Callithrix jacchus: one gene and its partners. The protein of the gene in region 1 interacts with the protein of each later gene in a pairwise test. Links are inferred from orthologs where the notes say so. Each region holds a gene or a part of one and is shown in the gene's direction. Other genes may lie near its edges.

What was found.
Region 2: the proteins of NUTM1 (region 1) and LMO2 interact in binary tests that used the Homo sapiens proteins (3 or more experiments, as listed by UniProt). The two-hybrid records come from large-scale screens. The link is inferred for Callithrix jacchus from reciprocal best matches to the Homo sapiens genes NUTM1 and LMO2.
Region 3: the proteins of NUTM1 (region 1) and ZMYND10 interact in binary tests that used the Homo sapiens proteins (3 or more experiments, as listed by UniProt). The two-hybrid records come from large-scale screens. The link is inferred for Callithrix jacchus from reciprocal best matches to the Homo sapiens genes NUTM1 and ZMYND10.

Annotation. Positions count from the first base shown.
Region 1 is NC_133509.1:54,033,083-54,037,366, forward strand, and holds the start of NUTM1 (NUT family member 1), read left to right. Parts: upstream 1-1,478; 5' UTR 1,479-1,796; coding exon 1,797-1,866; intron 1,867-4,284. Other genes in the region: NOP10 (H/ACA ribonucleoprotein complex subunit 3), read right to left, coding at 24-164, 1,192-1,245. UniProt on the Homo sapiens protein: Plays a role in the regulation of proliferation. Regulates TERT expression by modulating SP1 binding to TERT promoter binding sites.
Region 2 is NC_133511.1:99,243,174-99,247,455, reverse strand, and holds the start of LMO2 (rhombotin-2), read left to right. Parts: upstream 1-1,430; 5' UTR 1,431-1,694; coding exon 1,695-1,701; intron 1,702-1,824; coding exon 1,825-2,044; intron 2,045-4,282. UniProt on the Homo sapiens protein: Acts with TAL1/SCL to regulate red blood cell development. Also acts with LDB1 to maintain erythroid precursors in an immature state.
Region 3 is NC_133516.1:32,917,195-32,921,280, reverse strand, and holds the start of ZMYND10 (zinc finger MYND domain-containing protein 10), read left to right. Parts: upstream 1-1,234; 5' UTR 1,235-1,368; coding exon 1,369-1,460; intron 1,461-1,716; coding exon 1,717-1,825; intron 1,826-2,743; coding exon 2,744-2,860; intron 2,861-2,976; coding exon 2,977-3,030; intron 3,031-3,149; coding exon 3,150-3,287; intron 3,288-3,395; coding exon 3,396-3,484; intron 3,485-3,583; coding exon 3,584-3,684; intron 3,685-4,037; coding exon 4,038-4,086. UniProt on the Homo sapiens protein: Plays a role in axonemal structure organization and motility. Involved in axonemal pre-assembly of inner and outer dynein arms (IDA and ODA, respectively) for proper axoneme building for cilia motility.

The DNA of each region.
Region 1 (4,284 bases):
AGACATATCAGTTTAACGGACTTTCAGAGGACAGGGCGCGGTTGCTGGGTCATGAGCACCTTAAAGCGTTTCTTGATGGTGATTCGGTGTCGTGAGTATTTGTCATCTGGGGAGAACCGAGCAGGATGGGCTGAACAGGTCTGTTGTCCCATTGGGTCAAATTTCTGCTCGCGGAAGAGAGAACGTATGTCAGTTCAGGAGTGGTGAAATGGGGTGGAACAGTGTGAAAAAGAGCAAACATGAAAACATTAGATGCAATGGTCAGCTCAAATAGTTGTACAAATAAGTAAATAAAAATAAAATGTAAAAAGGTCGGGTGCGGTGGCTCACGCCTGTAATCCCAATACTTTGGCAAGCGGCGGAAGGATCGCTTGAAGTCAGAAGTTCGAGACCAGCCTGGGCAATATGGCAAACCACGTCTCTACAAAAAACAAACACACAAAACCAACCAAACCAAAAAACAAAAAAAAACCCCAAATCAAAAATTAGCCAGGCATGGTGGCACACGCCTGTAGTCTCAGCTACTCGGGAGGCTGAGGCAGGAGGAGCGTTTGGCCCAAGATTGGCTCCAGTGAGCTTAGATGGCGCCATTGCACTACAGCCTAGGAACAAAGCAAGTCTGTCTCAAAAAAAAAAAAAAAAAAGAAAAAGAAAAAGTGACTCTAACGCGCCTAGAGATAACTACGATTTTAAAAAAATTTTATAAAAAATATATATATTATATATACATTTTTTTTTGAGACGGAGTCTCGCTTTGTCGCTCAGGCTGGAGTGCAACAGCACTATCTCAGCTCTCTGCAACCTCCGCCTCCCGGGTTCAAGCGATTCTCCTGTCTCAGCCTCCCGAGTGGCTGAGATTACAAGCGGACGGCGCCACGCCAGGCTATTTTTTGTATTTTAGTAGAGACTGAGTTTCATCGTGTTGCCGAGGTGGTCTTGAACTCCAGAGCTCAAGCAATTCATCCGCCTCGGCCTCCCCAAGTGCAAAGAGTACAGGAGTGAACCACCACGCCCGACCACATTTTTTTTTTTAATAAAAAAAATTAGTCGCGCACTCCCGGTTCTTCCTCACCTCGGTTCTGGTCTTTCTGGTTCTCCGCACCCAGCTAGGTAACTCGGTGGATGGCCTCACCCACTCCTCCCATCTACATTTTTCGCTATGCCTATTTACAACCTACTTTCTCTCCTCACCTTCAGCGTATAGACCCGATCTCCCTCCTCGTTGAGGTAATACTGGAGAAACATGACCACTCTTGAGCCAGAGGTTCCAATTCGGTACGCAGCTCCGACTGCCCGGTCGCGTCACGTGTTCGTCAATTTCCTTCCTGCAGGGCCGGAAGTCAGTCTCTCCAGGCACGCCGGAAAATGTACTCAATTTTTGCCTTATTTTCAGCTAGACAGAAGAGGGCGCACGAGAGCAGGGCTTGGCTTGGGGCCTCACTTGCAACTTTGCAGGCTAAAACACGTGGAGTATGCCCACTGTGTGCTAGGTACACAGCTTTAGAGGGGGGATAGGGATGGATGTGGATAGAACAATGATGTATGGAGTCCTGTCATTATCTCAAGATACACGCCCATTTCAGGAGCAGTGAGTTTCTAGTGCTTGAAGAAACAAGGGCTCCAGGATTCAGAGCCCCTTTATCCCAGGGAAGAAAGAAGAGGTTTTCTTCCCTCCCCTCTTTTACATCCAGTTCCCCTGCTCCATTTCAAAGCGTTGGCGGTAAAGAATGCATGACGAGTATCAATATTCCGTAAAGCGAAAATAGCGTAAAGTTATCTTATGAAACTGGTGAAGTATGTTTCAGCGGTCAAACCGAGATTCAAACTCAGGTCTCTACTGCAAATTCAGCACTCTTTCTTATAGTGGTGAGTAGCTAATAATAGCGTAACAAAGTGCACCTTCTAGGAGTTTTTATAATTTTTAAAAGAATATAGAAATTCTCCTTACAGGACTCGTTTAAATAAATGAAAATGATAACCAAAGTATCATTATAAAGATGATCATTACGGCATTATTTAAAATGACAAGAGCATTGGAATATATATTAATTGTGTAACCAGAAAAACCTGCAATTTATTATTTTTTTTAAGAATATGGTTTGGCCGTGCGCGGTGGTTCATGCCTGCAATCCCAGCACTTTGGGAGGCTGAGGCAGGCGGATCACGAGGTCAGGAGTTCGAGACCAGCCTGACCAACATGGCGAAACCCCACCTCTACTAAAAATACAAAAATCAGCCGGATGTAGTGGCACGTTCCTGTAATCCCAGCTCAGGAGGCTGAGGCAGGAGAACAGCTTGAGCCCAGGAGGCGGAGGTTGCAGTGAGCTGAGATCGTGCCACTGCACTCCAGCCTGGGCGACAGAGCGAGACTACATCTCTGAGAAAAAAAAAAAAAGAATATGGTTTGTATTTACTTGTAGTCGCATAAAATATCTCTGCAAGTATTCACAAGAAACAGATGATACTAGTTACAGGGGAAAGGGGTGGGAGGCAGACTTATTCCTATGTATTTTATTTTGCAGTTTGATTTTTGAACCTTGCTAATGTATTACCTATTAAAAGTTTAAAAAAATCCAAGTACTTTTGTTAGAAAGAAAAAGGATGATTTCAGCCTTCAGGTCTTATTAATAAAAGAGTCTTTAGAAAACAAGGCGCGGCATGGTGGCTCACTCCTGTAATCCCAGCACTTTGGGAGGCTGAGGCTGGCAGTCACGAGGTCAGCAGTTTGAGACCAACCTGGCCAATGTAGTGAAACCTTGTCTCTACTAAAAATAAAAAATTGGGCCGGGTGCGGTGGCTCAAGCCTGTAATCCCAGGACTTTGGGAGGCCGAGGCAGGTGGATCACGAGGTCAACAGATCGAGACCATACTGGTCAACATGGTGAAACCCTGCCTCTACTAAAAATACAAAAAAAAAATTAGCTGGGCATGGTGGCGCGTGCCTGTAATCCCAGCTACTCAGGAGGCTGAGGCAGGAGAATTGCCTGAACCCAGGAGGCGGAGGTTGCGGTGAGCCGAGATCGCGCCATTGCACTCCAGCCTGGGTAACAAGAGCGAAACTCCGTCTCAAAAAAAAAATAAATAAATAAATAAAAAATAAGCTGGGCGTGGTGGCTCACACCTGTAATCCCAGCTACTTGGGAGGCTGAGGCAGAAGAATCCATCGAACCTAGTAGGTGGAGGTTGCAGTGAGCCAAGATGGCACCACTGTTCTCCAGCCTAGGTAAAAGAGCGAGATTCTGTCTCAAAAAAAAAAAAAAAAATATCTCAGAGGAAGCAAGAAAGATGCGGTGAACCCCAGGGAAGGAAGTCCAAGTTTGAATGAATCTGCGGCTATAGAGGACAGTCTGGGAGTTACTGGCCTGAAATAGTCAACAGGAACCTAAGCAGAGAAATTATATTTTTAAAATTTAAATCAAAATAATTAACAAAAAGAACTTTCTGCTCTTGAAATTTTAAACTGCATGGCAGCTTTTTTTTTATTTAGTGAGGCTTTTCAGCAAAGGATAAAGCTTCTGTGGAGTACAGAGCCTATGGTAATAGACTGGACAGCTTTCCAAGGAAATGATGTGCACACAGCAATTGAGCACCTTGGATCATCTGACAATTCTATTTTTTATTTTTTATTTTTTGAGATGGAGTTTTGCTCTGTCACAGAGGCTGGAGTGCAGTGGCGTGATCACGGCTCACTGCAACCTCCACCTGCCAGGTTCAAGCAGTTCTCCTGCCTCAGCCTCCAGAGTAGCTGGGACTACAAGCGTATGCCACCATGCCCGGCTAACTTTTTAAAACATTTTTAGTAGAGACGGGGTTTCACCATGCTGTTCTCAAACTCCTGACCTCCTGATCTGCCTGCCTCGGCCTCCCAAAGTGCTGGGATTACAGGTGTGAGCCACTGTGCCCGGTGACAATTCTAGTTTTAAACTTTAGTTCCCTTGATCCTTAAGTATACAGAAGAATGTACTCTGAATTTAGTTCAGAAAATATAGCCATCGTTAAATTAAGTCAGGGATCAACCATCAACTTGCTGTTAATAGGAAGTCAGTTATAGAACTGGTTGGTATTGAAGGACAGGAAATGAGATATGTTGGTGAAGAATTGAAGTATAGGGAACCAAATGGTAAAACTGTAATATTTGGGAATCTGGGAAAGAATTTACAAATAGCCCTAAAGAGGTGAACATCAATTGTGTTGCCAAACTGTAGTTTGAAGGGGATTCCTGGTTTTTGCATACTTACTAGAAACCTCATGGAATATCTCCAACAGCCATCCCACTTTTCCATC
Region 2 (4,282 bases), on another chromosome or scaffold:
CACTGAGCACAACCAAAAAAAAAAAAAAAATAGTCTTTTTGTATACTGAAGACTTTGCTTGGACAAAAATGTGCTCTTAAACTTCCTTTCACACACACACACACACACACACACACACACACAGAGCTTTTAATTATAGCCATTAGAGACCCAAGCCTTGGGACACAGGGGCAAAAAATGACAAGAGCATGCAGGCAGTGGTAAACTCTGGTTATACTTGGACAGGTCCATAAAGCTTTGGCTCTGAACAGGGAAAATGAAGCATGCAGGGATTCACTTCTGACTTCAACTACCACCTTTCAGGGTGAGCTCAGCCAGGCCCGTGGTGCCATCTTTAAAATGGGAACAAAATAAGTATGCCTATGATCCAGACTGATCATATAAAACCATGGATCCTGAAAGTACTTGGCAGTTCCCTCCTTGCAAGCCTTAATGACGGGCATCACACCGAAATAGGCCTGAATGCAGATATTTTCAAGGAACTCTGAGGCCCAGGGGAGCCAAAGTTTTTCTCCATGGAAGGGCAGACTACTAGCCTCCTCTCCTTCCCCTCTGCTTCCTGCCTCTTTCTAGAAGGAGGCTGGATGGGGGGGAAGCCTGAACCCCCAAATCAAATCCCCTTCTTTATGCCTGACCCAGGGCAAAATAATCTCCCAATACTGTTCCTGAACATTGGAAAAGCACTTTCTTTGGTCGGGGTCTCACTCTGTCACCCAGGCACTGGCACTACACATGGGGGCAGTTTAACTGCATTAGTCCGCATTCTGAAAGATGCTGAGGGAGGGGATTCCGCCACGAGTCGACTGAGAGGATCCCTGGCCCCGCGTAGTCCCTCCCCGCCACCCTCCCTCTGGGATTAGCTGCCCTGGCTCTGCTCAGGCGTCCCCAGCAGTCCCGGCCCGCACAGCCCCATCGCCTCTGCAGAGTGCGGCCGCAGCCTGGAGCCCACCGCCCGCAGAGCTGCGCGGTCCGGGACAGCCCGGTGCACCGGGTCCGTGGATCTGGGACCTCGAACCCAGGACGGACGCAAAAGCCACTCGGAACGCTTGCATTTCTGTAGGTGCTTATTTCTCATTCTTGTCTTTTCTTGGTTGATCGAACTGTTCGTGGGTTACTTTCTGCCTCAGTTAAACTAAAAGGGAAAGGCGGAAGAGGGGAAGCTCTGAAGAATGATTTAGTGGCTGCCCAGCCTCCTCTCCAAGGAGAGGTGTTCTCCGAGCGGCTCTCCCCGTTCCCGACACTGGCCCCTTTAAGAAACCAAGTCAGTCCTGATGCTGCTGTTTGTATTGCTAATCCCCAGGAGCCCCGTTAAAAAAAAAAAAAAAAAAAGGAAGAAAAAAGGGGAGGTGGGGGGACCGGGCAGCTGTCTCTTTAAATGTGATTTCCTTCTATTGTATTTGAATCGTGATCAGGAAAAAGGAAATGAAACCAGAGACAGAGGGAAGCTGAGCGAAAATAGACCTTCCCGAGAGAGGAGGAAGCCCGGGGAGAGACGCACGATCCCCTCCCCGCCCCCAGGCCGCCGCCCCCTCTCTGCCCTCTGCGGCGAGCTGCGCGCGGAGACCCGGGCCGAAGGTGCGAGGGGCTCGGGGCGGCCGGGCGGGCGCGCACCATCCCGTGGGCGGCGCGAAGCCGGCGACAGTGCGCGAGAGGGACCGGGCGGCGGCGGCGGCGGCGGCGGCGGCGGGACCGGGATGGAAGGTTAAGTCCTGAGCAGCAGCAGCAGCTGCAGCCTTCCGGGGCCAGGCTGCGCGCCCCGGCCCCCGCCTCGGCCGCCGCGCGCCCGCAGCCCGGTGATTCGCTCTCTCTCTTTGGCGTTTGAAGGGAGCGCGGTGACTGTCCTTGAGCGCGGAGGGGCGAGCTCGCCGCCGGAGCGCCAGAGCAAGCGGAGGCGCAGGAGCGGCGGCGCCCGAGCACCCGAGGGGGTCCGAGCCCCGGCAGCCGGCCAGCCCCGCGCGACAAAGGGAGCGCCCCCACCGCCCGGCACGCCGCCTCCCTCCCCAATGTCCTCGGCCATCGAAAGGAAGAGCCTGGACCCTTCAGAGTAAGTGCAGCGCCCCTGCCCCTGCCACCCCCGGTGTCCATGGCCTCCCGCCCCGGGGCGGCGGGGGGGACCCAGGCGGCCCGCGAGGGGGCTCCAGGTGCGCGCCCCGGCGTGCCCTTGGTCCCCTGTGCCGAACGCGGGACTCCCCCCTTCCTCGTGGGTAACTCCGGGGGCCCTGGGAGAGGGACTGGGAGGCGGGCGGGAGGGCGAGGGGTCGGCCCGGCGCCTCTGTGGGCCCCTCCAGGCTACCGGGACGCTCCCTAAAGCCACCGCGGGCCAGAAAGTTTGCACGGGAGCAGGCGCCAGGGAAGCCCGGAGGCGCGCAGGTGCAGTCGGAAGAGCGTTCGGGCTTCACTGCTCCCTTCTCCCCTCTCGCTCAGTCTCGGCCCTTTCTCTTTGTCCATTTGGTCTTGGAAAGGGGAACATTCCAAGTGGAGGCCTCCGGGGTCCCCAACGGCCGACTTCCCGGTCCGCAGGTGGAGCCGCTGCCAGCAGCGCGGGTACCGGGCGGGTGAGGGGTCTGACCGCCCTTCTCGGAGCTGGCTCTGGGCCTCCAGGGATTTCTAGAGCAGCGAAATCCGGAGTAAATCTGAGTACGCGTACCCCTCCTCGGGGTCCACCGATGGGGCCTGTGAACCTCGAAAGTTAGTGCACCATTTTGCGTGTAGGTTAATTCTTCTGGGGAGCAGAGTCTCAGTTTTTAGCATAGTCTCAAAAGGGTTTGGGGTCAGGTAACCAGGGCTCTAATGAGCATTGGCCGCATCTGTTTTCTGAGCCTCGTACCAGTTTGGAGTATTTCTCTATCCCTAACCCATTCTTTAGTGTTAACATGGGGAGCAGGGGGTGTTTAAGATATCATTTTCCTGTCAACGCAAATGCCATTTTAAGAGTCATTAGCTGTCTGGTTTTGAGAATTTTTATTCCTTTGAAGTCCCCATCTAATCCTTTGAAGGGATTTGTTACACAAGACCAAAGGAGCTGGTTAATGACTTGTCCATTTGTGCTTTTAAGAGACATTTGTTTTGTTTTGTCTTTTCCTGCTTTAAAAGAATTGTGCTTTCCTGCTTGAAATACCGCACGCACACACACATACACACGCACGCACACACATACACCCCCTTCAATTTCGGCTATGGTGTTTATTTACCTGGGTTTTACCCTCCGTTACCAGCATAAAAGCTCAGCATGTTCTCATAAAACGCAGGAAGTACCACCATCCAATGAGAATATAAACATCACTATTCAGTCTTGAAGGTTAATACACCAGTTCTATAATGAGCTAGGTTTGTTGTAGCAAAAACCCCCACTTCCTTCAACAAATTCTCAGAAGAAAAATAACATTCCTTTTTAAAAGTATGTTTATGCAAACAATGGGTTTAAAGGGTGGTTTGATCACGTTTTTAAATAAACTTAACAATTACAACCGAGCTCTGAGTTTCAGAGACTGGGCAAGATCACACAATAAGGAAGTGACTTGGATGAATTGGTGCCTAATGCCTTTTTGATCAGTAGAATTTTGTCACTAATCCTTTCAATAGAAGATAAATCTGAAGGTTTCAGTTCCCTGAAGGAAGTTTGCTTCTTTCAAAGTTTGTGCTTTCTCACTGAGGATATAAAACTGAAACATCCTAACTTCCTAACAGGCAGGTATCGACTGCTGGAGGCTCACCAGCTCTTTCCTTCACTTCACTATTTGCCCAATGAAGACAGGTTCTAATCAAAAAGGCACAAGCTGGTTGAGAAATTGCTGCAGTGCATTCTCCCCACCCCCTTAGAAATTGTTATGAAATTATCCCAGAAATCCGGGCTGAAGTGATATTCAGGTATAATATTCAAGATAGGCTCTGGGAGAATATAAAATATTAATTTGAGGGTGAATCAATCTCATTCAGTCATTGTCTTGGATTGTCCACTAAGTATAATGTGATATTATCATTAATTAATTATAGAAAGACAGAGCCAATATCTTACACTTTACTTCTCCATCTCATCTCAGGCCGTCACCATAACTCATTTACTTTACGTTCCTCCTGTGGTCCAGTATCCTACTAGATTCTTCATTGTGTACTTCCTCAAAGCCAACTTGGGTTATTACAGTCAGCATCTCCAAATTACAGATGGAGACTTGCCTAGCTATATGCAAATGAAACATTTGGACAGAAAGCCAGCCAGAATTCATGAACACAGAGATTCCCTTGCTATGCCATTGCTGGCCCCCGCTGCCTCCCGTGAGTACCA
Region 3 (4,086 bases), on another chromosome or scaffold:
CCAGCTACTCAGGAAGCTGAGGTGGAAGAATCACTTGAACCCAGGAGGCAGAGGTTGCAGTGAGTCAAGATCATGCACTCTACCCTAGGTGACAGAGGAGATGCCACCGCAAAAAAAAAAGAAAAAAGATGTGATCAAGAATGAATTGGGTTGGAAGCAGGGACTGCTCTGGATTAAATGGCCAAGAAAGGCCATCCAACGTGTAAACTGAGCCCTGAAGGAAGAGTATTCCAGGCACAGTGCAAAACCCCTGAGGCAAAAACCTCTTTGGAATGTATGAGGGAGATCCAGGGAAGCAAGGGGGAGAAGCGAGTATCCAAGTCCCAAGGTATGAGAGAGGGCAAGAAGTAGATCTTGCAGAAGTGCTAGTAAGCTGTGACAGACCTAGCATTTGGTGCTCCGAAGTAGCTGCAGAGCCTCTCTCATGCCAGAGAGTAATTGTACACGTTTTTTCTTTCTTTCTTTTTTTTTTTTTTGAAACAGTGTCGTTTTGTCCTCCAGGCTGAAGTACAGTGGTGCAATCTCGCCTCACTGCAACCTCTGCCTCCTGGGCTCAAGCAGTTCTCCTACCTCAGCCTCCCGAGTAGCTGGGGCTATAGGTGTGTGCCACCACACCTGGGTAATTTTTGTATTTTTAATAGAGACAGAGTTTCACCATTTTGCCCAGGCTGGTCTCGAACTCCTGACCTCAAGTGATCCGCCTGCCTCAGCCTCCCAAAGTGCTGGGATTACAGGTGTGAGCCACCGCGCCTGGCCTGACATACACTTTTTAAAAAGAGGCTCCCGGCTGTTCATGAGGACCAAGCGTGGAAATAAGTCTAGAGAAAAGGCTGCCACAGTTATCCCATGACAGGTGACGACATTCTGGATGGAGAGAAGTCGTGCGCCCTGGCAGTAAGTATTTCAGGAGCCAACTAGTGGAGCCGGGACGCCATAAGGAGGAGGAGGAGGAGCAGCGAGTGGGTCAACATGCCACAGCCGCAGGAAGAGCTGGTGGGGTCGGGGTTACCCCATCCCTGTGCAGGCCGACTTGGCGTCCCAGGAGAGAGTCCAGGCCACAAGAATCGGGAGAGACTCGTGGGTCACAGCCCGAAAAGCTCTGGGAATCCAGGTACTGTAGCGATTGGCAGCGGCCTAGGTGAGGCCGGCGGTAGACCCGCCCGGATTTAGGCGAGAGCTACCTCCAGGGGCGGGCCCAGGCCGCAATGCGCAGGCGCGGCGAACCCGTTTCCATGACTGCGAGAACCCACGCTCCCCAACCGTCCCGTAACTGTCCGATCCCAGACTTTGGCACCGTCGGGCATCGTCCCCGTGTGTTAGTAACCCCACCCGACTGCTGCCCAGGGTCTGTCGGACCCCGGCCTCGACATGGGAGACCTGGAGCTGCTGCTGCCCGGGGAAGCTGACGTGCTGGTGCGGGGTCTGCGCAGCTTCCCGCTACGCGAGATGGGCTCCGAAGGGTGAGGCACCTGGGTCAGGCGGAGTCATGGGGTCATTGTCCTTGAGTGGGGGAGCTGGGGCCTGATACGGGTGGAGGGGCTGCCCAGTGTGGAGGGGCCTCCAAATGGGGAAGCAGAGCGTTCTGAGACAGGAGTATTATTGCTCCTGAGCCCCCTGTGGCCCCTTAGGATCAGGTTAGGTTTCAGTAGGATCCAGCCCCCATCCTCACTCCTAATGCACACACGTGCACCCACATGCACTTACCCTCGGGGGCAGGTGGAACCAGCAGCACGAGAACCTGGAGAAGCTGAACATGCAAGCCATACTCGATGCCACAGTCAGCCAGGGCGAGCCCATTCAGGAGCTGCTGGTCACCCATGGGAAGGTACCCTGAGGTCACAGGCAGGATTCCTGCCTTCCTCCATACCCACTCTACCCCTCAGGAATGCCCTGTGTGTTTTGCCCTCTGGCCTGGTATACCTGTCCTCCCTGAAGGTGAAAGAGGAATGTGTTACATTATGTATCCCTATGGACAGGACTCTGGCACACCAGGCCAGGTGCAGGGCATGAGTTGAATAAAGAGAAAGTTGCAGGTCCTAGAACAGCTTAGGATTCGAGGGGAAGGCCCAAATCCTAAAGGCATCTGTGAATTGACTGTAAGGCTGCGGGGGAGGGGAGATAACTTAATTGGAAGTGGATCTTTGGCAGGGAAGGAAGCAGCCTTCCTAACATGAGAGAGCAGAGTTAGAAACCAGGGAGATGCCTGGCTGGAACATGGACCAGGGAGTATCACCAGCAGATGACCTGAAATATCAATTCACACACACACAAAAAAAAGAGTTCCTTTGTAAGAGAAAGGTGGAGCTCGTTACTAGGGGATAGGGTAGGAACAGGGCACTGTGAAGGGTCCTGAGTAAGAGTGAGGCCAAGGCACACAAGAGCCTTGGAGGACCAGAGGACAAGGACAAGAGGGAGGGCATGAGCAGAAGGGCTGGCTTGAATGCCTGAATGGAGGGAGAGAGGATAAGGGTACAGGTGCAGGCAGGGCAAGGCAGTCTGGGGACTGGGCAGGAGCCAGTCACAAGCATGGGGGACATCCACAGAGGTGTTGGGAGCAGCTGGAAATGAAGGTCCAAGTTGCAAAAGAGAAGTCAGGAAGGATACTCATGGGGTCTAGGAGAGTCTAGGGGCCCAGCAGTGTTTGAGGAGATCTGGGCTGAGCTGAGCCAGGGATGGGAGGGTTGCCAGGCTAGGCCCATCTTACTCCTGTCCTTTCCCCCTGTCCTTTCCCCCCACTTCAAAGATCCCAACGCTGGTGGAGGAGCTGATTGCAGTGGAGATGTGGAAGCAGAAGGTGTTCCCCGTGCTCTGCAGGGTGGAGGACTTCAAGCCTCAGAACACCTTCCCCATCTACATGGTGGTGAGCTGGCCCCTAGTTCATACTTCCTCCCACTCTTTCAGAGGGCTCTGGACCCGGGAGGAAAGCTGGTGGCCCCTATCCCTCCCTCAGGCCCTGTTCTTCTTTTTGTCTAACAGGTACACCACGAGGCCTCCATCATCAACCTCTTGGAGACAGTGTTCTTCCACAAGGTGAGAGACTATCTCTGCCCATGGGCCACTGTTCCAGGTCAGGGCCTGGCAGGAAAGAAGGTTGCATCTGTGTGAGGAGGGCATCAGACACAGAAAGTTTCCCTCCCCGCTTCACCCAGGAGGTGTGTGAGTCAGCAGAAGACACTGTCTTGGACTTGGTAGACTATTGCCACCGCAAACTGACTCTGCTGGTGGCCCAGAGTGGCTGTGGTGGCCCCCCTGAGAAGGAGGGGTCCCAGGACAACAACCCCATGCAGGTGGGTTGAGGTTCCCTAGGGTTGAGAAGGCCTAGGTCTGGGTTCCCCAAGGCCTGCGCAAGTGAGAGTGGCCCAGTGGCCCAGCATAAACACTGTGTGGCCTCCCAGGAGCTACAGAAGCAGGCAGAGTTGATGGAATTTGAGATTGCTCTGAAGGCCCTCTCAGTACTGCGCTACATCACAGACTGCGTGGACAGGTGGGCAGCCTGACTGGGCCTGGGCCTACCGTGGAAGGCTGGAAGACTGGGCCTGTAGCCTGCCTCTGCTCACCTCCTTCCCAACATTCCTGCCCCTAGCCTCTCCCTCAGTACCTTGAGCCGCATGCTCAGCACACACAACCTGCCCTGCCTCCTGGTGGAACTGCTGGAGCATAGTCCCTGGAGCCGGCGGGAAGGAGGTAGGGTCCTCCCCCACCAGCCTAAGCCCCAGGCTACTGCTTCAGGATATCTTTTTGGTAAAGGGGGATAGCTTGCATATATGAAAACAAACCCTGTCCCCAAGCCCACTGAGGATACCAGGATGCCTCAGCCAAGCTTGTCCTAGACCTGAGCTCTGCAGCAGGCCAGGCCCATGTGTCCACTACCGAGGCTCATCCTGCTCTGGGGTGAGCAGCACTATATAGCCTGCCCAAGTCCTGTGGCCCAGGCTCTCCCACCATTCCCAGGCAATGGTCAGTCTCCCAGGCCCCATGGCTGGCTCACTTGAAGAGAATGCAACGCCTGCACCCAGTGTGCTGGTTCCTCTCCCCAGGCAAGCTGCAGCAGTTCAAGGGCAGCCGTTGGCATACTGTGGCCCCCTC